Linked DNA regions of Arabidopsis thaliana. The protein of the gene in region 2 interacts with the protein of the main gene of each other region in a pairwise test. Each region holds a gene or a part of one and is shown on either strand. Other genes may lie near its edges.

Region 1 (11,969 bases), on a different chromosome or scaffold from region 2:
TTACATAATTTACTGATGTTCAAGCCTTCTGACAGATTTGATGAGGGTCTCAACTGAAATTAGTAGATTTACCTTAATTCGTACGGCCAACATGTTATTCATCCCTCTTTCCTTGATAGCCTCAGAAATCTCGCTGATACTAGCACGTCTTATTGCTTCATAGTCTATGGAATCCATATTGTTTTTGTTTCGTTCCTGTCTCCCTTCATTCCCCTCCACATCTTTTCTGAGACTATCCCACTGGCTTGTAGGCTTTTTCCCATCAGCAAGCGTCCCTTTCATCTCTCGTAAAATAGTGGCATTTGTCTCCTTGTATTCAACTGCCGTCTGCTCTTTATTGCTGGAATTTGATTCGACCAATATGTTCTGTAAGCTTGAATTGTTACTGAGCGGATCAACCACGTCTTCAGCAGTTCTATCTCTCGGTAGACAGCCATCCGTGATGTTCTGTTTGGTACTGGACTGTCTTGTAAGGCATTCTTCAGAGGAGTTGAGCAGATCCAAAAATGTTTTTTGTAAATGGGATGCTTTATTCATCTCATCTTGTTGATTATGTTGGGTATCGTCCTGGTGTTCTTGGACGGCGCTTGAGGAACCGGACAATCCCATTCCTGGTAATTCATGAGGCGTTGATGGTATGATCTGACCTGTGAATTCTCTTGGAACACTTCCACCTTGTCTGAAAAACCTGCGTGGTACATTTTTGTTCTTTACTCTGTCAACTCTTGGTGAGATGGACATCCAAGAATAACCAAGGCCTTCACCTTGCATTCCAAAATCCTCTATGTCTAGTACATGTGGCTGTCGAGTCGCACACTGCTCATAGCTGCTGGAAGGAGTTGTTTGCCAATTAGTATCATTTCTTGGCTGACCAAAACAGACAGAGTCTTTCCAATTCATTGTTTTTTCAAGATCAGGTTTCTTCTGAGCGACATTTGTAGTTTCTTGTTTCTGAACATCACCAGATCCTTCATATAGATGCGGTCTCTCATTCCCTTGAAGACAAATTTCATCAGACAAGTTTGGGCTCCCAGTTTGCACTGATTGTGATGTTCCACTGACAGTTTTTGTTTCACACCTGGTTGTAGGAAACTCTGCGTCTGATTTGGAACATGAACAGGATCCAACTCTCCCACACGACTGAAATATCGCCGGATCAAAAGAATCTTGTGATGATAATACTTCCTCTTCTAAATTTTGAATACTCTTCTCTAAGAAATTAAATCTTTCAATTCCAGAGTTTGAACAGTCCCTTAGCTGCTCTTTTGATCCACTATCAACCCCAGAAACTTCCATGTCAGATGGATGTTGAACCTTTTCCTGCCACGAAGGAATTTCATTTAAGTTCAGAATGCATCCTTCTGGATCTTCAACAACTACGCTTCTAACATTCCTTTCATCTTCTCGGCTGCTGCTTAATTTTGGAGGGAATCGAGCAGCTAGAGACATGAACGCAGAGCTGCATTGTAAAACCACCATGGGTTAATTTCTATGTTTTGGAACTCAATTTATTAAGGCAACTCATATACCTTGAAAGGTGATCCGAGACATTCTGTGTAAGGAAAACTCCAATGACCGAATCAACCACCGATCCCTTCCATGGCGAAAAACGTCTATCTCCTGTAAACGTTTAAGTTCAATTGGTCATCTATAGCAGTAAAAGAAATAATAGGCACATAAACCATTCAGCTGTCACCATAAATGCACACCTGTTCTTCACAAGATGCATTATGAATATTATTTGACATGGTTAACTAGTGAATTTTAAAATTTTGCAAACAAAACATCATTTTTGAGTATTCTACTAATTTGTGTGAATAAAAATGGAGTTGAGAAGAGAAGTGGATCTTCACCTTGTACCAGGTGCATGCGAGCGATGAAGGAATCAGCCCTTCCTCGGAAGACTCTTCTTTCTTCTTCCCACCACTTCTCTTTCTTTTTATCCTTCTCTTCATCCCCTTCTTTTTCATCTCCTTTCCCCATCAGTAAGTTCCATATGCGAGTTGTTTCATCGTCAATGTCAACTTTGGGTCTTGGTTTTCGCTTCTTGCTCTCATAGGGAACAAGTGCACCATCTCCTTTGTACAAGACCATTGCATTTTGCTCTTGTTCTCTTTCTTTGTCTCCTAGATACAGATTTTGCATCCTGTAAATTATTTCCGCAATAGAATCCTGACACAGAAGTTCTCCTGATGGACCTATACAACGCACCAACAGTGATAAGGAGCTGGTTTGGACACATCAGTTACTAAAATCTCAAAATTATATCACAGAGATTGTAGAATACATTAGTTACCTCTTGCTTTTCCTGAATCTTGTATGGACTTTCTCCCTTTTCCTTTAGGCTTGCTTCTTGATAAAGGTGTCTTTGGAGGAGTAGGTTGCCAAAGCTGGATCTCTGAGGCATGAGCAGGCGGAGGTACTGATTTTTTTCTACCTGCTCGACCCTTTTTTGCAGGCGTTTTTGGGACAATACATTTCTCCTTTTCTGCTGTCTTTTTAACTGGAGACGAGTTTCCTTTAGATGCACCTTTACTGATGCTGGCAGTATTTTTACCTTTTCTTGCCCCATCAGTTGGATCATCCTCGATTTCTATAACCTCAGGTGGCATGCCATGCAAATTTTCTTGGACTACTTTCTGGATTTTCGTTTTCTTTGCAGCATCTAAATATTCCACACACGTGCTGCTGTTATGTCTCTCCACATCTTGTGATTGAGCAATCTGTTGAGCTAAGTTTAGATCATGCTTTTCCGTCTGTCCCATTGCACGATGATACTGTCTCTTCGAGCCCCTGGCTTCCTCAAGTTTAGCCATAATTGGAGTTGGCAGAGAAGAGTTTTGAGGTAACGCTTTCTTGCACCCATTACCATTGGATATCTCATGAGAAAGTATGTACTTATTTCCTTGATGGATATCTTGCTGTAAAGAATCGTATGCAGGAGCCCTGCTTCTCTGGCATGTACCTGTAGTCCCATTCAAAATCCTGGAAACAGATTCCACATGTAGATATGTTGTAGGAACTTGTGACTGAGAATGAGGTCGAAGCCCAGGCGATGACATGCTGGTAGCTACCATCTGATTCAAGTGAGTAAAACCTTTTGGAGTTGCAGGTTGCTGGTCAATCAAAGGTACGCAAGGCTGCTGGCCTCTTATTAATGATCCAGGTTGCTGGTTTTTTATCAGTAGTCCATGTTGTTGCCCTCCGGTTGACATAACAAGTTGATGCATGTCTGTAGGTGATCCATATAGCTGATTTCCAGCAGGTAAACAAGTCTGGTGATTCAAAAATATAGGCCGCTTGTTTCCTTGGGGACCTCCTAGTTGCTGGTTTCCACTTACTAATGCAGGCCGTGGAGTTCCTATCAGATACATAGGTTGTTGATTACCCATGGCCAAGCAAGGCTGCTGGTTTCTTATGGTCATGCGAGGTTGCTGGTTACCAAATGGAAAGCCAATAAGTTGGTTTTTCATCTGAAGCCAAGCTTGTTGGTTTTCCATTGGGAACTGGGTGTTCTGGGTTGCCACTGGGAACTGGCATTGCTGGTTTCTAGTCAATAAATCAGGTTGTTGGTCTCTGGCCAGTTTCGCTCCTGTAGATAGTTTATCTGGCTGGTTTCCCATTGACACTTCAAGTGGCTGGTTCATAGCCCCCAATCCATTGGTCTTGTCTATTTGTGACACTGAATCCAGGAAACTACCATTAGTTCCACCAATGGCATCTCTGATCTCAGAAAACGAGTTTGCGCCACTACTGTTCTGGACAATTTCAGACTCAGAGTCACCTTGCCTCGCATCTCCAGGATTCTCCAAGTCAAAATTCAAAGCTTTTCTGCAACTTTTGAGTGTGACTTCAGGGCTTTTGTTGCTCATATCTCCAACATTGGCTGGCTTTTTAGTTGCTGATTCTTTCAAATTTTTCTTTTTGGCACTCCCGGTTTCTTTAGATTTCACTTTTTCCTGAGTTGCAGCTTTGCGTGGCTTCCTTTTAGGTTTGCCTTCCACGACCACTTTGGGAAGTTCTGCAGGTTTGCGTGGCTTTCTTTTAGGTTTGCCTTCCACGACCACCTTGGGCATGAACTTCCTTTTCCTTTTGGAGGGTTTCTGCTGAGGAGTTTTGTTAAGGTCGAACTCCAGAACATCTTGTCTGCTGCCATCATTTTGTTCAGTAGCTTCCGTCGCATTAACAGCAGACGAGTCCATAATGCTCTGCATACTTTTGTCAGATTTCGGCTCTGGGATTTCATGTCCAGTAGTTGTAACTATCTGTTCAAGGAATCCAGTCTTTTCACCTGTTCTGAACAGACTGGGCGTTGACGGTACATATTGAAACGAACTTTCACAGACTGACCCAACTGCTTCTCTTCTAATTGGTGAATTCAAATTGTAAAGAGGCTTGTTACACGCTGGAGGTCCATCTGTTCAAAACCATGACTTTCTTAAGATATTCTAATTCATGTTCTACTCTAAGTACTGCAAGAACGGAAGAAAGGGAAAAAAAAAAACTGAAAATAGATTTGATCACTCACATTGACGAACCTTGAATAAGCTATCCCCACCACTCAGCAAGCTTGTGAAGGAGAAGGGCATCTGATCAGGATTCAACAAGTCATCCAATTCAAACTCATTATAGCCAGCTTGAGAAGTGCCACTCTGGGTGAAAGGACCATTTACCATACCCACATCTGAAGTAAAATTTCCATTGACCGGCTCTACATTACCGGTGGTGTTTCTGATAACTGGTGCTAAAGGAGAAGTCACCTCACTCCTGCCCAAAAGATCTCTCTCACTATTACTCCAAGCTTGTGCATGTGATCCCGCTAAGCTATTGATCATCATACTTAAGTTGGTAACGCCCTGATGAGCACCATGATCAAAAACCCCATTATGATCCACACCAGTGTTGCAGAATCCCCTGTCTACAAATTCACCACCTGGAAACCCATTTAGATCCTGGTTTATCACTCTCTCATCTACCATCAGACTTGATCTAGGTTTTTTGGGTGTAAATGGAATCCAAGAACCCATGAACTCTTGTTGAGTTTGATTCTCCAAAGGAACTCGAAAATATCTATCCCCCGGATCAGCCCTCGAATTCATAACACACTTGATGAATCACTCCCCCTTCAAACCTTATCACTACCTCACCCCAAATAACACTCACCTAACTCTCCGAAAACTCTCTCCAAACACCAAAACAAAGCAACATGGACGAACACTCCTTTTTAATCTGACTTGGTTAGAGAAGGCGACATTAACTAAGAATCTGCACCATAAAATGCAATAAATGATTTTTTGTCAGATATTTTTCTCATCAACAAAACGAGAAACACATTGAATAGCGAAGAATTTTTTAGCTGGAAACGGTAAAAGAAGAGCGAATAAAGTAAGCAATGTTTATGGGGAAAGTGAAGATAAAAGCAAATCAGAGGTTTTTATTACGCAGAATCAAAATCAGGTGTTAATAGCTGAGATTTATGATCAGAAAACAGGAACATGTATTGATTAACATAAAAACCCAGTGATTCTTCTCGTGATCGGAAAATGTAACAGCTGGAAAATTTAGCAGAACAAATTCCAGATAAAAAAGGGAGAGAGAAAAAAAGGAAATAATATGTAAATAAACAGAAAATGGAGCTAAAAGCTCACCGATCTAAGCTTTCTGATTCTCAGGCGAGTCAATGCCGGAGAACACTGAGTCAGCTATGCCGTTAGAGATAGAGATAGAGAGAGAGTGTGGTGAGATGAAGAAGGAATAAAGTGAAATATCAGTTGGCGTTAGCAATATGGGCCTGAGGCCCAAATTATATTCACGAGGACGTTGTTGCTTAAGTGTATTTTGTTGTTAATTGTCATTAGTCCTATTAAAATGGTTTAGTTTGCAAGTTTTCAGATAAAGCAACAACGCTAAACCCAACTTTTGTTGGTTATAAGTTATAACTTATAAATGTTCATTAGAATCTTACTAAATTTAATGTTTTGGTCTTCTTCCTATATTTAGATTTTAAAGTATGTCAACACGATTTTTAAATGAAATTTAATGTTGCAAACTTGCTTCTTCATGCCAACATTTGACCGAATTACATAAAGGAAGTTCAATGCTAAAATCGTATTTTTGTAAAACGCTCATAATCACTATTTTCGCTAGAGTATCTAATAATTTCCATATATTCATGAAATTAATTTGAAATTTGACACAAAATTCTCGTATTTTTTTAACGTAAATAAAGGTATAACACCGAACTCGTATTTTACGACTATGTTCGTTTCTAATTGCACCAAACTGATAAAATTGTAGTCACCAATTAATTACTCCGTTAGTGTATTAAACTAATATTATTTGACCCATTTGGAATATAAACCCGACCCGAAAGTTAATGAAATTGTATAAACGACAAGTTTCCGCGTGGAAGCCATTAATGATTGTGACGGATCTCTTCCTACCCCCAATCAGTTTCAATTTAGTCCTTCATCTTTCGGGATAATCCTATTTTAAACCAATGAAAGGATTTCTGGTCCCATATAGTTTATTGGGTGCTGCTCCTTTATTTTTCTTGGTATTTTATTTGACTCCCATACATTTAGATTTATTCGCATTGACCCCCACAGCAAGAGACCATAAGTCACGTTACGAATCTTAAAAAAATTTCGTCTAAAGGTAGTCACGAAACATTATTATGAGATTCTTGCTATGTTTGAGAATTATATCCCTCGGAAGAAAATTCAGTTGACGATATATCAATAATCAATGTATTTTTGTTCTTAGTCAACATTGTAGTAATGAAAATACGATTTTTTAAAGTAATGTTTGTGACAATGAATAGCAAATTATATCATCATAATTACAGAAAATATACATATCTTTAAGGTTTTTCCTTGAAACAAGAAGAACTCTTGACATTATTATAGCTAACACGAGTCTGAAGAATTAATCTCAGTGAATTTATATTTTAAACAGTTACATATCTTTTGAGATTTTTGTACAAATGTTCATATACCAAAATAAAGAGATTAAGAATCTGTTGACTTATTCTTTCTTTTGATAATTATATCGGTTAACTTTTCTTACCATCGGTAAATTAATACTTTGATTGAGAATTTGAGATTAGATACAATTGGTCTACGTTTTGGAATCTAGTGACATATTTGGTGTATTAGGAGGTTTTTCAAATAAAGTGAGCGTTTCATAATCATGAGTATGTAGTTATCCCATACTCGTAAAATATTATGGCAAGAAGGAAAAAATAGCATCCTCCAACAAGTAACAATCCACTCAACACCTTTTTAGAAACTTCCATATAAATAATACTACATGTAGTATATATTGGAAATATCGCTTTCGCATTGACAAGTTCAACGTCAATCAAGCTAGTTAGGTCAACTTTTCCCTAACGTTTTTGTTAAGTTAAAACTATTTGATATGTTTATTTTGTTTTGGTTCTATATGGAAATTAAAGATAGATATTACAGAATTATGCATTATTAAATGTATTTTAATTGATAGATAAATGTATTTAATTTCGCAAAATTTAAAACTTTCGATATGAGTATATATTTTTAAAGGTACGTATGTACATCTACTATTTGTTTTTTTTTAACTACCAACCTATTTGAGTTTGTTAAAATTCCTAGTTTAAATGCATTATGGATGTTTTTTTGGGCTAATTGTTGAGTAAGGAGTTATCGTTTCTATATAACTTTCATATATATATATATATATATATATATATATATATATATATATTTTAAGGATTGTGAATGCAATACTTTTAAGTTTTAAATGTGTTACAATTTAGGATATTTGTCGTGATTAGAGATGGTCCTAAAAAATCTATGGACTTAATTAAAACCAAATATTATGCCCATTAACTAATTATTGATTTTTTGAAAGAAAAAGATTTGAAAACAAAAAGTCTACAAGGGAGAGAGAGTTGAACTCCCGGCTTTAATAAGCTAAAGGAAAGATTTTGTGATCCTAAGAAGACATTTTTGAGGTTTGCTCAATCATTTCTATTTTAAGATCAAAACTGTCATTGATTGTGATCACATGTATTGTTTAGTTATTAACTTGTTTTATATAAGTTCGACCTTTTGGATGGTAATCTCTCATCATATTAAAATACATTTTTTGTTATGAATATATATTCCATGAAAATGTAACATAAGAAACAAAAACAACATTATATCTTAATTTTTTTCCTTTCAAATTACATGAAATTTGAAAGTTTGATACAATAATGAAACTTATGATATAGAAATCCTTCTTTTCTTTTTGATTTCAGCAAAATTACACCATAGTTTTAGAAATTATAAATGTTTTGATTTTTTTTTGGAGAGACGGTTATTGTCAACCTTTTAAGTGTCAAAAGTGACTTTTTTTATTATAATTTCATAGAAATTTTGTTAAAATGATTTATCATATATTTGAGTTTCTTTATAGATATGTTATATACACATAAATAAGTTTGTAGCAGTTTACTATTTTTTTTAGAAATTCTGCTTTCACGTTTTCAACTGCTTAGCTTTTAATTCTATAAGTAATATGAATTCTTTCTTTCTTTTTTAATAGAAAATACATAAATTTGCTGTGGTCTGTTCTGATTTTTCTTGGAGAAAAAGGCAGGTAAATTGTCAAACACTTTAGGATCGAAAAGTGACAATCAAAAAAGTTTGAGGCAAAATAAGCAAATAGTCTGAAAATAAAGTAGTAAAGAAAAAGGCAAATATAGGATTCTTTCTTTTAAACACGACGACGAACTTGACTCGCTCAGTCTCTCTCTCTCTTTATCTCTCCACAATTTGCTGCTTTAACCTCTCTCTCTCTCTCTCTCATCACACCATGTGGGATGTGGCTATAGCAGTCTTCACTGCATCTTCCTCCTCACTTTCTTCTCTCTCTTTCTCTTAATTTCTTTTTTTCCAGATTTTTCTCTGATTCCCATCTTTTCCCTCGAATGATCGGTAAGATTCTCTCTTCCTTCTCCCACTGTTTCATTCTTACGCGCTTTGTGGTTTTCACTGTTCCCGTGTCGGCTCTATATCTTCTCGATTTTGCCGACAATTCCAATTTCAAATCATGGGTCTTTTACTAAATTCGATGTTGGTAGCTTTAAGCTTCGAGAACCGATTTAGAGGGTTGGTTGAATTTGGGCGTTTCTCTCTAACTTGAGCTCTGTAGCTAGATTTCCCCAATTTCAATTCCTTTTTGCTTGTGTACGAGTTACTTCTTGCTGTTTTCTTGAGATTTCAATCGTGGGTCTGGTTTTTTATTGTGAAATTTGGAAGCTTTTTGGTGTTGATAGTATTGGTTTATTGCAGGTTGAGAGAAGATGGTTTCAGAGACTTGGTTTCGTAATCTGTGGAGGTTTCCAAAGAAACATGATGGTCATAAAGATAAGGCGGTTCTAGGAGTATTAGCGTTTGAGGTTGCGAGTTTGTTGTCGAAGCTTGTTCATTTGTGGCAGTCATTAAGTGATAAGAATGTTGCAAGGCTTAGGGACGAGATTACACATTCCACTGGTATAAAGAAGTTAGTTTCAGAAGATGATGATTTTATTGTGAGGTTAATACGTGATGAAATGATGGAGAACGTTGAGAATGTAGCGAAAGCTGTGGCTAGGCTTGCGAGGAAATGCAACGATCCCAAGTTGAAGTGCTTTGAGAATTGTTTTAGTGATATGATGAAGACTGGAGCTGACCCTTATGGTTGGCAGTTTGGGTGGAAGAAAATGGATAAGAAAGCTAAGAAAATGGAACGTTTCATATCATCTAATGCTAGTCTCTACCAGGAGACTGAGATTCTTGCTGATCTTGAACAGACTTTCAAGAGAATGAAGAGCAATGAATCTGCTACTGACAATCTTTTGGAGTATCAGAAAAAAGTTACATGGAAAAGACACGAAGTGAAGAATCTGCGGGATGTGTCTCTTTGGAACCGTACTTATGACTATACCGTCATTCTCTTGGTTAGATCAGTTTTCACAATCCTTAGCAGGACTAAACATGTTTTTGGCATTAGTTACAGAGTGGAAGCAAGTGATGTTAGCTCTGCAGATTCTGATTTTATTGGCCGCAGCCACTCCGTTTCTACTATTTTAACTCCTGTATCTCATAAATCTGAGTCTAGTGGTCTTCCTAGATTTGCTTCTGGCCCCCTTGGAAGATTTACCGGTCCAGCATCGGGTTCAGCTGCTACAAGGTCCACGAAGATGAGTGATTTCCTTTCGGGTTCTCTCAGCGCCGAATCACCTAAGTCAGGTCCTCTTGTTGCAGAAAAACACAAACGTTTCAAGTTTTACTCTGGTCAGCTTGGGAAGATCACCTCCAAATCAGGACCACTTATCGGAATGGGCAAAAACAACAAGAAGATGGGGCAGACCCCGGAAAGGCCTTCAATTTCCTCAGTGAAAAAGCAATTGAAAGCCAACCGATTAACACAGGTTGGCCCATTTAAAGGCTGTATGGTGTCTCACGATGGGATTACGCCTCTCAGCACTAGGGCCCGGAATGGAGCTAGGAATAGTAGTGCTGAGCATCACATTCTTGAAGATAATTCTAACTCTGTTCACGTTGAAAACTTGACACTTCCTTCCCGACCCAAGCTGTCAGATGCTGCTCCTAATACCCTTGGTACCGCTTGCTTAGCATTACACTATGCTAATGTCATCATCGTGATAGAGAGATTTGTTGCGTCTCCTCACTTGATAGGAGATGATGCAAGAGACGACCTTTACAACATGTTACCGGCGAGCGTGAGAACATCGCTTAGAGAAAGGCTAAAACCTTACTCGAAAAACTTGAGTTCTTCCACAGTTTATGATCCAGGCCTAGCAAGAGAATGGACAGACGCAATGGCGGGTATCTTGGAATGGTTGGGTCCATTAGCTCACAACATGATAAAATGGCAATCTGAGCGGAGTTACGAGCACCAAAGCTTGGTTTCAAGGACGCACATAGTTCTTGCACAAACCCTTTTCTTTGCAAACCAGCAGAAGACAGAAGCCATCATTACCGAGCTTCTCGTAGGCCTCAATTATGTCTGGAGATTTGGCAGAGAACTCAATGCCAAGGCTCTTCAGGAGTGTACCAGTAGTAAAACCCTTGAGAAATGCTTGGACACAGATAACTAGTGAAGCTCTCCAAGACGACACACACAAGTCTGGATTTTTACTACCTCGTTGACCTAAACCGGCACTGGATCTCACCCACTGGGTAAACCATACCGTGGGCGCGCCCTGTATCCTATGCAGCTTGGACCAAACCAGAGTACGGAAAGGTGCTCGATTAATTACATGAGAGGTATTATGATCTGAGCACCTCTTTATCTTCTTCCCCGTTTACTATTCTGCTTCGTGGATTGCAAAATTCTGACTTGTAGTAGGATGATGATGCGTTGTATATTGTTCTATGATTTTTATTGTGGTGAGTTACATACTGCATATATACGTATGTGCCAAGGTTGTTTTAGATTCTGTAATACTCGTTGGTGATACAGAAGATTCCTTAAATTCCGATTTGTCCAAGTTTTGTCCTGTATTATTATTACTCGTCCTTGGTCTTCTCCTCCCTTTTGGTCAACTGTATTCGTATGTGGGTTTGTCAAAGTTTGAAATTAAAGTCAATAGATTTCTTAGTTGATTATTGTTTCTTCAGTCTACATGTTTAAATTTTATGATATAAGTTTTATGAATGAATCGCACTTGATCTAGCTGGCCAAGAGAAGAAGATTAGTGTTTTGTATTCTTGATTCCAACTCCAAGTCCCATGTCACAGAATTCAGCATGCTGAATCGTTTTATTTGTCCCAAGCACATGCTGAATCGTTATAGCATTAAAGAACTTTATACTAGTATTTTTTAGAGAAATATCTAGCATTTAAAAACAAATATTAGTATGATGATAAAAAATTTTAAAAGGAAATATCTACCATTAAGAAACAAATATTGGTATGATGATAGTATTATTATATGAT
Region 2 (10,370 bases):
AGAGAGTTTAAATGGTGAGCAAGTGGGAATTCACCACGAAATGAGTTTTATATATGCTTATATCTCATAACATTTTGTCAACTATCTCTCGAGTACTTTATAAATGATTTTGTTAGATAGCACTCTATGAATGATAATTATATATTTTTCTTCTTATTCTTCTTATTTGTCTTCACAAAATTTAGCTTATGTTTTTCATTATAGCTCTAATATGTCGCCTTCCACTATCCCATGTTATCATTTGAGATCTTCTGAAATCATATGTTGTGATCTCAAAAATTATATATAAGTATAGACGAAAATAAGAGAATATTTCCGTACATGTATATTTATATTATTGTTCATTTTGGTGTTTCATTTTGTTGGTGTAGAAATAATGGAGCCAATGGAATCTTGTAGCGTTCCTCCAGGATTTAGGTTCCATCCGACGGACGAAGAGCTTGTCGGGTACTATCTAAGGAAGAAAATCGCATCGCAAAAGATTGATCTCGACGTCATCAGAGACATCGATCTCTACAGAATAGAACCATGGGATCTACAAGGTTACTTACCGAACACCGTGAGATATTTTACTTTGGTTAAGGTTTTATTGATTATCACCTTAAATTTTAAATGTTACAGAACAATGTCGAATCGGTTATGAGGAACAAAATGAATGGTATTTTTTTAGTCACAAGGACAAGAAATATCCAACGGGGACAAGAACTAATAGAGCGACCATGGCTGGATTTTGGAAAGCCACGGGAAGAGACAAAGCTGTTTACGACAAAACAAAACTAATTGGTATGAGGAAAACACTTGTGTTCTACAAAGGACGTGCACCTAATGGCAAGAAATCCGATTGGATCATGCATGAGTACCGGCTCGAGTCAGATGAGAATGCACCGCCCCAGGTACTTGTGTTTCTACTTTGGTGGGGACAAAACATTTTTGTTTTAATTAGGGCTTCTTGTCTCTTGGGCTCTTTCGTGAGGCACATGCTAACTTTTAGGTGAAAGTCCATTAATACTTATATTCAATCAGAAAAAAGAAAGTAAAAGTCTCTCCTAAACTAGTATCAAATTTCAGTCTCACGTCAATTTTTATTATAAATATTTTGACCATTGCAGAATTTTACAGTTTTCCACTAACCAAAAACAGAAAAGTTCAATCACATTTCCTTTTGAAGTAGTAAACATGTAAACTTTTGTCTCGTTTATAACAATTATAAATTATTTAATCCCTTTTGTAGTAATCTTTCGCATATATATTTGTACGCTAGCAATTTCCTCTATAGAAAATGATCTATATATGTTTGTAGTATATATTGTTTATGATTATAGTTGTGCTTGTTTTTTCAATATCTTAAAGTCAATAAAGTTCAAAAGTGAAACTCTATTAGATTGCATGAGTATGTACCTATACATTTCACTAGCTTTCTTATTTTTGGTCTCACACTTTTCAAGCATGTCCTTATGTGTGTTTCACTAAAATCTAACTGCCTTTTCTCCATCTTTTTGTTTGCATTGGCCTTATGTATTATATGATTCTTTACCAATTTTTGAAACATCAATTCAAGCCAAAGATTCTATTTACATGTCATGTCTTCTTATGATCATTTTTGTGCATATATGTGTTTTAGGAAGAAGGATGGGTGGTTTGTAGAGCATTCAAAAAAAGAGCTACAGGGCAAGCCAAGAACACGGAAACTTGGAGCTCAAGTTACTTTTACGATGAAGTTGCACCGAATGGAGTTAACTCGGTTATGGACCCCATTGATTACATATCTAAGCAGCAACATAACATTTTTGGGAAAGGTTTGATGTGTAAGCAAGAACTAGAAGGAATGGTTGATGGTATAAACTATATACAATCGAATCAATTCATTCAGCTCCCACAACTCCAAAGCCCTTCTCTCCCGCTGATGAAAAGACCTTCAAGCTCGATGTCCATAACATCAATGGATAACAATTACAACTATAAACTCCCATTAGCGGATGAAGAAAGCTTCGAGTCATTCATAAGAGGAGAGGATAGAAGGAAGAAGAAAAAGCAAGTAATGATGACGGGAAATTGGAGAGAGTTAGACAAGTTTGTTGCTTCACAACTTATGAGCCAAGAAGACAATGGAACTTCAAGTTTCGCAGGTCATCATATAGTTAATGAAGATAAAAACAACAATGATGTGGAGATGGATTCGTCAATGTTTTTGAGCGAAAGAGAAGAAGAAAACAGGTTCGTCAGTGAATTCTTGAGTACAAACTCGGATTATGATATTGGGATTTGCGTATTTGATAATTGAATGAAACTACATAGATGGCATGTGAGATTTGTTGGTACGTTTACTTACACTTATATGAAAATATTAACAATATAACTAATAAAGAAAATTAAACATATGGTTTAGCCATGTCTAGTTTTATGAAAAGAATGTGTTAGGGTTGTGAATGAGTGAGGATATAAATCTATATTACGTTACGTACTATTTATATTCGAGTTTGAGTGACTAGGTCAGAGTTATTGTTACGTTATGAGGGTATGAATTGTGAGGTTTTCTAAATTTTTTAATTATAGTTAGTTTTATAGAGATGATTTAAGGGGCCATTAATTAAGTATAGTTAGAAATCAGAATAAGAAATCATTGTTGTGGGGCAAGGAGATGTCGAGCGTGCGGTGTGCACAACGGGGCTCCGTTGGGCATGCTTTGTCGTCCACAATACCAACGAGACTTTGGGAGCAAGAGTCTTCAATTTAAAACTTTATTTTATCTCATATGAATCTTTTTTTAATCTTGATTCACTTGGAAATTTTATTATATTATAAATGTTAGATGTTGGTTCTCAAATCTCATGCAATCTTTTCAAATTGTGGGAATATCAATACCAAACTAACAAAAATAAAGAAAACCCATGTATTGTAAACAAAAACTCAAAAAGTGAACTATCAAAATTAAAGATTATGTTAGCTGCGTGCATCGGTTATATTTCAGATCATTCAGTAATCTCTCCAAAACAAACTCGCAAACATCCGCTTAAAACGAGGACACCTTCCTTAGTATATATATAGTTCCGCAAACTTTAGTTGCTCCAAACTCTCTATTTTACTCTTTGAGCTAGACTACATTATATTTACGCTTTAAAGAATGTCTTCAATGCATTGGTAGGCACTATATTTCAAAGGCATTGGTCTTGAGAAGATGTTGATTGACCGAAAGGAGGAGCTAATGATGCTCTAAGGAGGAGCGCTGTTTGATCCTCAAGGTAAGTTACAAAGACTGAAACCGTTATCTAACTGTGCATATTTCGACTACCTAAGTAACGGATCGTTTACAACTGTGTCTAATTGTATTCGCTACTTTTAGGTACTGGCTTACGAAACATTGATAATCTAGTTGAATGTCACAAATATTTTGAACTCAAAGACATCATGATAAACTTTATAGCTCCAAGCAAACCAAATACATAGAATTTTTTACTCTCTTAGCTCAAATGAATAAAACTGAAAAGTATCTATTTTTGTATTCATTACTAAACCATATAGAGATGTTGGTTTACACGCGAAGAGTTGTAGTGTTTGTACTAACGATTACATATGAACCAATATGTTTTGTTAAAACATCTGTATGGGCTCCGTGTAATCACTAACTTGGGCCGTTTCAAAAGTCTTTAGGCCCCATCTTAGTCATACATAAGTATTAGGCGTTTTTTCTTTTCAATTCAACGACTTAGATAAAATACATAATTAGCATTTAGTTAACCAACCCCCAACTAGAAATAATTACTCGAATTTGTTTCGCCTTCGTTTCTTCGATTCTTTGAACAAATAATAGATATCAACCCAAGTAAAAATCTATCTATTTAGAGTATATTACATGGTAGTACTGGTTATACATCCGAAGACTCTTTACTCTTACACCCAAAAGAGACCACACCAAACCAAAACAAAGTCATCATCCATTTACAGAGACAACAAAAAACCTTATTCTTCATATTCACACACAGTTCCATCTTCTTCTCCTCCTCCTCAGTGATCAAGCAGCGGAAGCTTTCATGGCCTTCTTCTTACCAACTGAAGATTTGATAGACTTAGGCTGTCTCGCCTTCTTCACTTTCCTCTTCTTTTCTTGTTTGTTCACAGACACAGTCTTCTTAGGCCTTGTCGAAGAAGACCTAGTCCTCTTTGTGATCTCTTTATCTTCTTGCTTCATATTCTTCTTATTCTTCTTGTCCTGCTGCCTCGTTATCATCTTGGTGGTATCTGAGAGCTTGTAAGAGGCTCTGATCTTCACGAGCTTACCTTTAGCAACAGAGTTTTTAAGCTGTAGAGAAAGTGTTTTACGGAAACTCTCTGGAAGTAAAGACTTGTGTTTCTCCTCTATCTTCTTAGCTATAGCATAAGGGCTTGATCCGTTCTTCTCTTTCAGGACCATCAAAGCCTCTTTTATCATCTTCATCAAAAACCAAAACGAAAAAACTAAGTTTAATAGATAGGAACTCAAAAGAAAAAGTTAGAACCTCACCTGAAAGTATGGAGGATGAGTGGTGGTTTTCGGTTTTCGCGGCTTCTTCGCCGCCGGAGTCTTCTTTAAGATCTTGTCTTCTGCCATTAGAGGATTAGTGAAAGTGTTGCTTTGCTTGTCTTGTCTCTATCTGTTAAATTTTTTCGTGCTAGCTTATTTATAGCGCAGGGAAGTGTATTCGTGTGTTTTCTGTATTCGTTATGGTTTTTGTCAGAGGATCGATTACGTGTGCATTAATAAATCATGAGCGTACACGTGTCGTTTAAGTAATGGCTGGATTCCATGTGTTTATCCGAGAAACACACTTGGTGGCGGTGATCGTCCTTTACTCTTACTAGGCATTTTGTGAACGAGTGTGTTTTCTACTGAAACACAAAATAAGTTCTTATTCTTAATAACGTAGACGCAGTTATTAGGCCAAATAATTGGTTAAATTTGGTTTAATGAAAAAATTGATGGGAGAAAGTTTAAACCAGAGCTTTGTTCGTCATCTTATTTGATTTTTAAAATTGTTAGCTCACAAAAATTGCGATATGTGTCAAATTTACTAATACAATATTTTTTTTGGTCGGTATTTACTAATACGATATTTACATGTGTTTCAAATTTTATTACATTTAAAAACAAAAATAGAAAAAAATCCTTAACCCTATCAAAAAAAAAATATATACATAAAACAATTGTTTATATATTCAATTTTTTATATTTAATATATTAAACTAAACTCATTCTATTAATAATTGTTGATCTATTCAAAACATAAATAAAATTCCCCATTTTGTTCTTAAAAAGAAGTGTTTTAATATTTTTAAATATTGTAACTTAAATATGTTTATCTTTTTATTTTCTTAATTTTGTTTTATTTTCTTCTTCTCAGTTATATCGTTCTATTTATTTACCACATTTACCGAGAGGCTTTGCTTGGTCCAACTTTTTCTTTAGTTTTTAACAATATGGTTTTAGAAAAGGTAAGATTGAAATTTGGTTTTAGAAAATATATATTAAATAAAATATATATAGATTATCATTTGAAAAATTTATTAAAACAAAAATTTATTTATTTTTCACATCTACCTATTTAGAGAGGTTTTATCTAGTAAAGTTATTAACCGTTCGCAAATTTTGTGTTACGACATATATAAACAATTTATGAAAAATTGCAAGACTAAATTAATTACGGAGTTAATGTTTCAAGGTGTTATTCATTATAATTGAAAAATGAGTAAGTATTGAACCCAAATACAACTATGTTATTATTGTATCATCGTTTTTTTCTTTTTGGAGTATAACATGTAGAGTAAGCTACAATTTCAATAAATAAGTTGAAAAGAAAAAAATCATAGATTTTTAAAACTAAGCTAAAACTCTATTTTGGTATAGGAGGAGTTGCACCCACAATTCTTGAGCATTGTTCCTTTAGCATCGGAGGGAAAAACAGAATGAATGGAATTTTCGGCATGGAATTGACTTCAGCGTCCAACAATGCTTTACAACAAGATGGACCTAAATTGCCGAATTTTCCAGTGAAAATAGATTGAGAAACCTCTACAATGCATCCAGGAATATCCATCACGGATGACCAACATTTTGTTATGTCAGGTAATCCTGACATACCAGGAATCGGTTCGAATAGAAATGAAAAAGGAAATGGAGCCGGAAACTGAGGCATCTAAGCATTTACAGAAACGATGATGCATAGAACCGCTAGGAGTGAAAGCATATTTTTTATAGACATAATGAGAAATTGAGTAAAAAGAACCTTAGTATAGCCAAATATATGCTGAAGGTTATATTTGCTTTTGATTGATGAACAACAATAAGACTTTTGATTATTTATATGGAATGAAATGTGAAACTATGACATTAATTATCTTACTTTAACATCTTTGGATGCTTTAATTAGAAATTTCAATAGTTGTTTTATAAGTATAAATAGAGTTGAAACTCCAAGAAAACAAGTAACATTAACTTGGAAATATTGACTACAAAGAGCAATAAAAGTGTAACCGGCTTCACATAATTAATCAGTTACCAGTATATATCTCAAAATTTAAACCAATAAACCGATTTATTCGAATTTTCTAGAGAAAATTATTTGAATCCTTAAATCCCATACAATGGAGTTCTGCATGACTTGTTTAAAATAAAAACCTGTTTAGATTAATTGCTAAATGGCTCTAACCTTAAATGTTGTTAAGAAAAGTCAAAAACCTAGACATCCCGCTCAGAACCTACTAAACTGGTTTAAACATTGAATTACGCCTAACAGTAAACGATTTCTCAAATATTAAGAGTGGAGACGAGAGCCAAAGACTATCAAGAGTTTAAGAGCAAAATGACAACACACAAGATGCCAGAATGTTGCAGTAAGACCATGACAAAGATACTGAAATGTGATTATACAAGTCACTGTCTACGACAGGGAGTGCTTATGAAGCCTTTAAGAAGAAATGAGATAGCTTGTCTGATTTTATCATATGTTTGAGTTGTATCAAATTCGTAGACAGATTCAGAATCAAAACCACAATAACAATAACCTTGAATTAAATTCTTCTTATTCTTCTTCTTCTATGTTCTTCTGGTCAAGAAGAGAAGGGAAACGAAGCAGGCACCTTCAATACATTTTCTATCAGATCAGATAAGGTCAAGCTGTTCTCTTAATGATGTGGACTCCACTGTCTGTATCGACAATGTCGCTTATATCTCCAACCTTGAGCGCGTAAGTTGCTTCCTCAAATGGTTTCTGCATTTGACCTCTACCAAAGGAACCTGAACAGGGATGGACAAATCAACATAAGATTTATGAGCACAAATTATAGATTCATCAAGAAAGAAACTCTATGTGGGAGATGATCTACGAAGATGTTAGTAAACTTGATGAGCACCAATTATAAATCATCACGAGGAAAACATGGGTAGTGATCTAAGTGGACATTAGTAAGATTTATGAGCACCGATTATGGATTCATCAAGGAATACACTTTAGATTATAAACATAGTTATGCTCTAAGCAAACAGTAGTAAGATTTACGAGCACCAACTAAAGATACATCAAGGAATAAACTTTAGTTTCTAATCATCGATGTTGATCTAAGTGGACAATAGTAAGACTTGTGAGCACCGATATAGATTCATCAAGGAAGATAAACTTTAGACTCTCAACATCGGTGATTATCTAAACAGACATTAGTGAGATTAACGAGAGCCAAGAATAGATTTATTAAGGAATATGAAGAAGCTAAACATTAATGATGATAGAAGCTAGAGATTAGTAAAATTTCTGAGCACCAACTAAAGATTTATCAAGCTAGAAACTATAGATTCTAAACATTAGTGATGACTATAAACACATCGAGGAAGAACTGTGAGATTCTAAACATCACTAATGATCTAAGCTATGATCATTATGCTCAATTTCACTGTAAAGAGTTAGATCCAATAGAATCCAGTTAACAAGCTTTCTACTCCTTCAACAAACATCACTTGAGACTATACAGATTAACTTCATTTCCTAAAATCTTAATTGCCACTAGATCTAACCCTAAGTTCAATCATCCTAAACCTAAACTCGCTGATCTAGAGATTAGGGATAAGAACAAACCAAGATCACCGCCGCGTTTAGCAGAGCTACAGTCAGAAACACGAGTCGCCACTTCTTCGAAATTCGCCTTGCCGGAGACAATATCTTCACGGATCGATTTAAGCTGCTCAACGGCGGCTTCTCTAGTGGTAGTCAGAATAATCTTCCCTTCTGGATCCTTCCACGACGCTTTCCTCCGAGAACCTTGATGCTTAATCAAAATGTGCGATGCCTTAACTTGGTCTCTCGACGCCATCTTGCTCTTCTTTCGATGCTTGTTGTGATGATGGTCTTTCTTCTCCTTCGATGTTCGATCTGTGGAGGAGACCGAATCGTTCTTTCGCTTCCGATCTGAATCTATCTTCGTTGATTTTGGGAAAAGTGTTTTTGCGGCTCTGCTTCACTATTTTTGCTTTACCCTAATGATTATCGACGATTGAAACTGTGAGACGAAATCACCACAGATATTTTGGTATCTACGAAATCGCCCCAGATCTTTCAGCAGATTCAAAATGCTCCCGGATCTTTCGGTATATTCGAAACCACCACGGATCGCCCAGTATATGATGAAACCGCCTCGGATCTTTCGGTATTTATGAAATAACCCTGGAACTTTTGATTTTTTAAAAATCACACCCAAACTTACAATATTTACTATAAAAATCCCAAATCGTTATTATTGACAAATCACCCCAGAACTTTCTTTGTATTTGCGAAAATACCAACTGATGATACTAAGATGTAAAGGATTCATAAAAAGCATATTCTATGTGAGAGATTGGCAATCAAAGTATATCATATATATATATATATATATATATATATATATATATATATATATATAATATCAATGAATTGGTAATCAATACCATAATGATACAATGAAAGTCTAACTGAATCTTCTTACAAGAAAACAAAAAGCATATACTATTTGAGAGATCTTAAAAGAAACAAGACAAAACGCTGAACAATCACCACTCAAGGGGCAAGAGTAAGACATAAACATTGTTGTGACCAAATTCCTGGCCAAAAGAATGAACCAAAACTTACATCTGAGACTAAGCAATCAAATCCAAGAACGCGAAGATCTCACAAGGCTTATATATTAGATGTCTCTCAAGACGGGCCAACCTTTTCTAATGATCTCATTAACTCTAGAGTCGATATGTTTCTGGATTCTAGGCGGGCAGAGCTCGGCTGCGTAACCGTTTAGTTTTGTGGCTAGAGCTGATCTCTCAAGCTCTTCTTCTACCATGTTTCCAATTAGCTGAATAAGAAATGGATGTTGTTTCAGCTCGAACTTCTGCAAATACAGAAATTCAAGAGAAGATTGATTTTCTTAATCGTTTATCCTCTAATAAACAGCCGTGATATGAATGGAAGATGCAGAGAGACTTAAAGCTGAACCTGGTGATCAGGCTCTGCGCGATAAAACGTTCCTAGCTGTTGAATTTGAGTGGTCACGATACTGCTTCTTGTATTAAGTTGCTCCCTTTCTTTGCTGGTAGAAGCCAGTCTCAATTCTTCTGTAGAATTAGTGAAAATACAGGATCTGTTCAAAAAGATTCCCATGTTTTAGATTTGGTCCAAACAAACAAACTCAAAGATAAGCATCAGCTATTTACTTGCTCTTTTACCTGTATTGATTACCCACATCAGGACCTTGTCCAAACACTTGTCTAGAATCATGACTAGACCAAAATACATCTAAGAGCTGACGATAACCAATTATCCTTGGATCATATTCAACCTGAAGACAATTACAGAGCAAGAGCAACACAAATCTTTAAGCTCCTCAAACACTAAGTCAGATGAACAAAGACAATTTAGTTTAACTTCAATCAGACAATCACATATACACTAAGATCACACATAACCAAATTTCAACAAAACAACCTAATCAGCTAATGAATGATGATATTCACATAAAGCATTCTCCAATTTTATTATCCAAACGAAATCTGTTAAGTAGAGCAAATCAAATCGAACAACATAGGCACTGATCAAATCAAATCATATCAGCTAAACATCGAATAAACGAAGTAAACATTGGCTCAATCCTCAAAATTGAAACAATAAAACCAACCTGTACGGACTCGGCGTGATCACCTAAGTTCCTATACTCCGGATTCGTCTTCGTTCCACCGGCGTAACCGGCGGAGGTTCGTACGACGCCATTGATACAACCAAACGCCGCCTCCGATCTCCAGAAGCTTCCAAGAGCGAAAACCGCAGATTTCAAAGGACGATCGGGAGAATCAACGACAGTATCCGAGATCTGATTCGAAATCC

The links.
Region 1: the proteins of HIS1-3 (region 2) and DME interact in a two-hybrid assay, tested with the Arabidopsis thaliana proteins (one study listed by BioGRID).

The regions. Positions count from the first base shown.
Region 1 is NC_003076.8:1,302,916-1,314,884, reverse strand, and holds the start of DME (HhH-GPD base excision DNA repair family protein), read right to left. Parts: upstream 5,772-11,969; 5' UTR 5,649-5,771; exon of another isoform or gene 5,266-5,648; 5' UTR 5,100-5,265; coding exon 4,529-5,099; exon of another isoform or gene 4,418-4,528; coding exon 2,297-4,417; intron 2,199-2,296; coding exon 1,854-2,198; intron 1,621-1,853; coding exon 1,530-1,620; intron 1,460-1,529; coding exon 73-1,459; intron 1-72. Other genes in the region: AT5G04550 (type-1 restriction enzyme mjaxp r protein (DUF668)), read left to right, coding at 9,329-11,128. UniProt on the Arabidopsis thaliana protein: Transcriptional activator involved in gene imprinting. Catalyzes the release of 5-methylcytosine (5-meC) from DNA by a glycosylase/lyase mechanism.
Region 2 is NC_003071.7:7,840,310-7,850,679, reverse strand, and holds HIS1-3 (histone H1-3), read right to left. Parts: upstream 4,682-10,370; 5' UTR 4,586-4,681; coding exon 4,499-4,585; intron 4,427-4,498; coding exon 4,010-4,426; 3' UTR 3,649-4,009; downstream 1-3,648. Other genes in the region: VND1 (vascular related NAC-domain protein 1), read left to right, coding at 377-542, 622-893, 1,622-2,281; PIN1AT (peptidylprolyl cis/trans isomerase, NIMA-interacting 1), read right to left, coding at 7,143-7,267, 8,100-8,334; MSRA5 (Peptide methionine sulfoxide reductase family protein), read right to left, coding at 9,184-9,381, 9,486-9,630, 9,716-9,828, 10,165-10,370.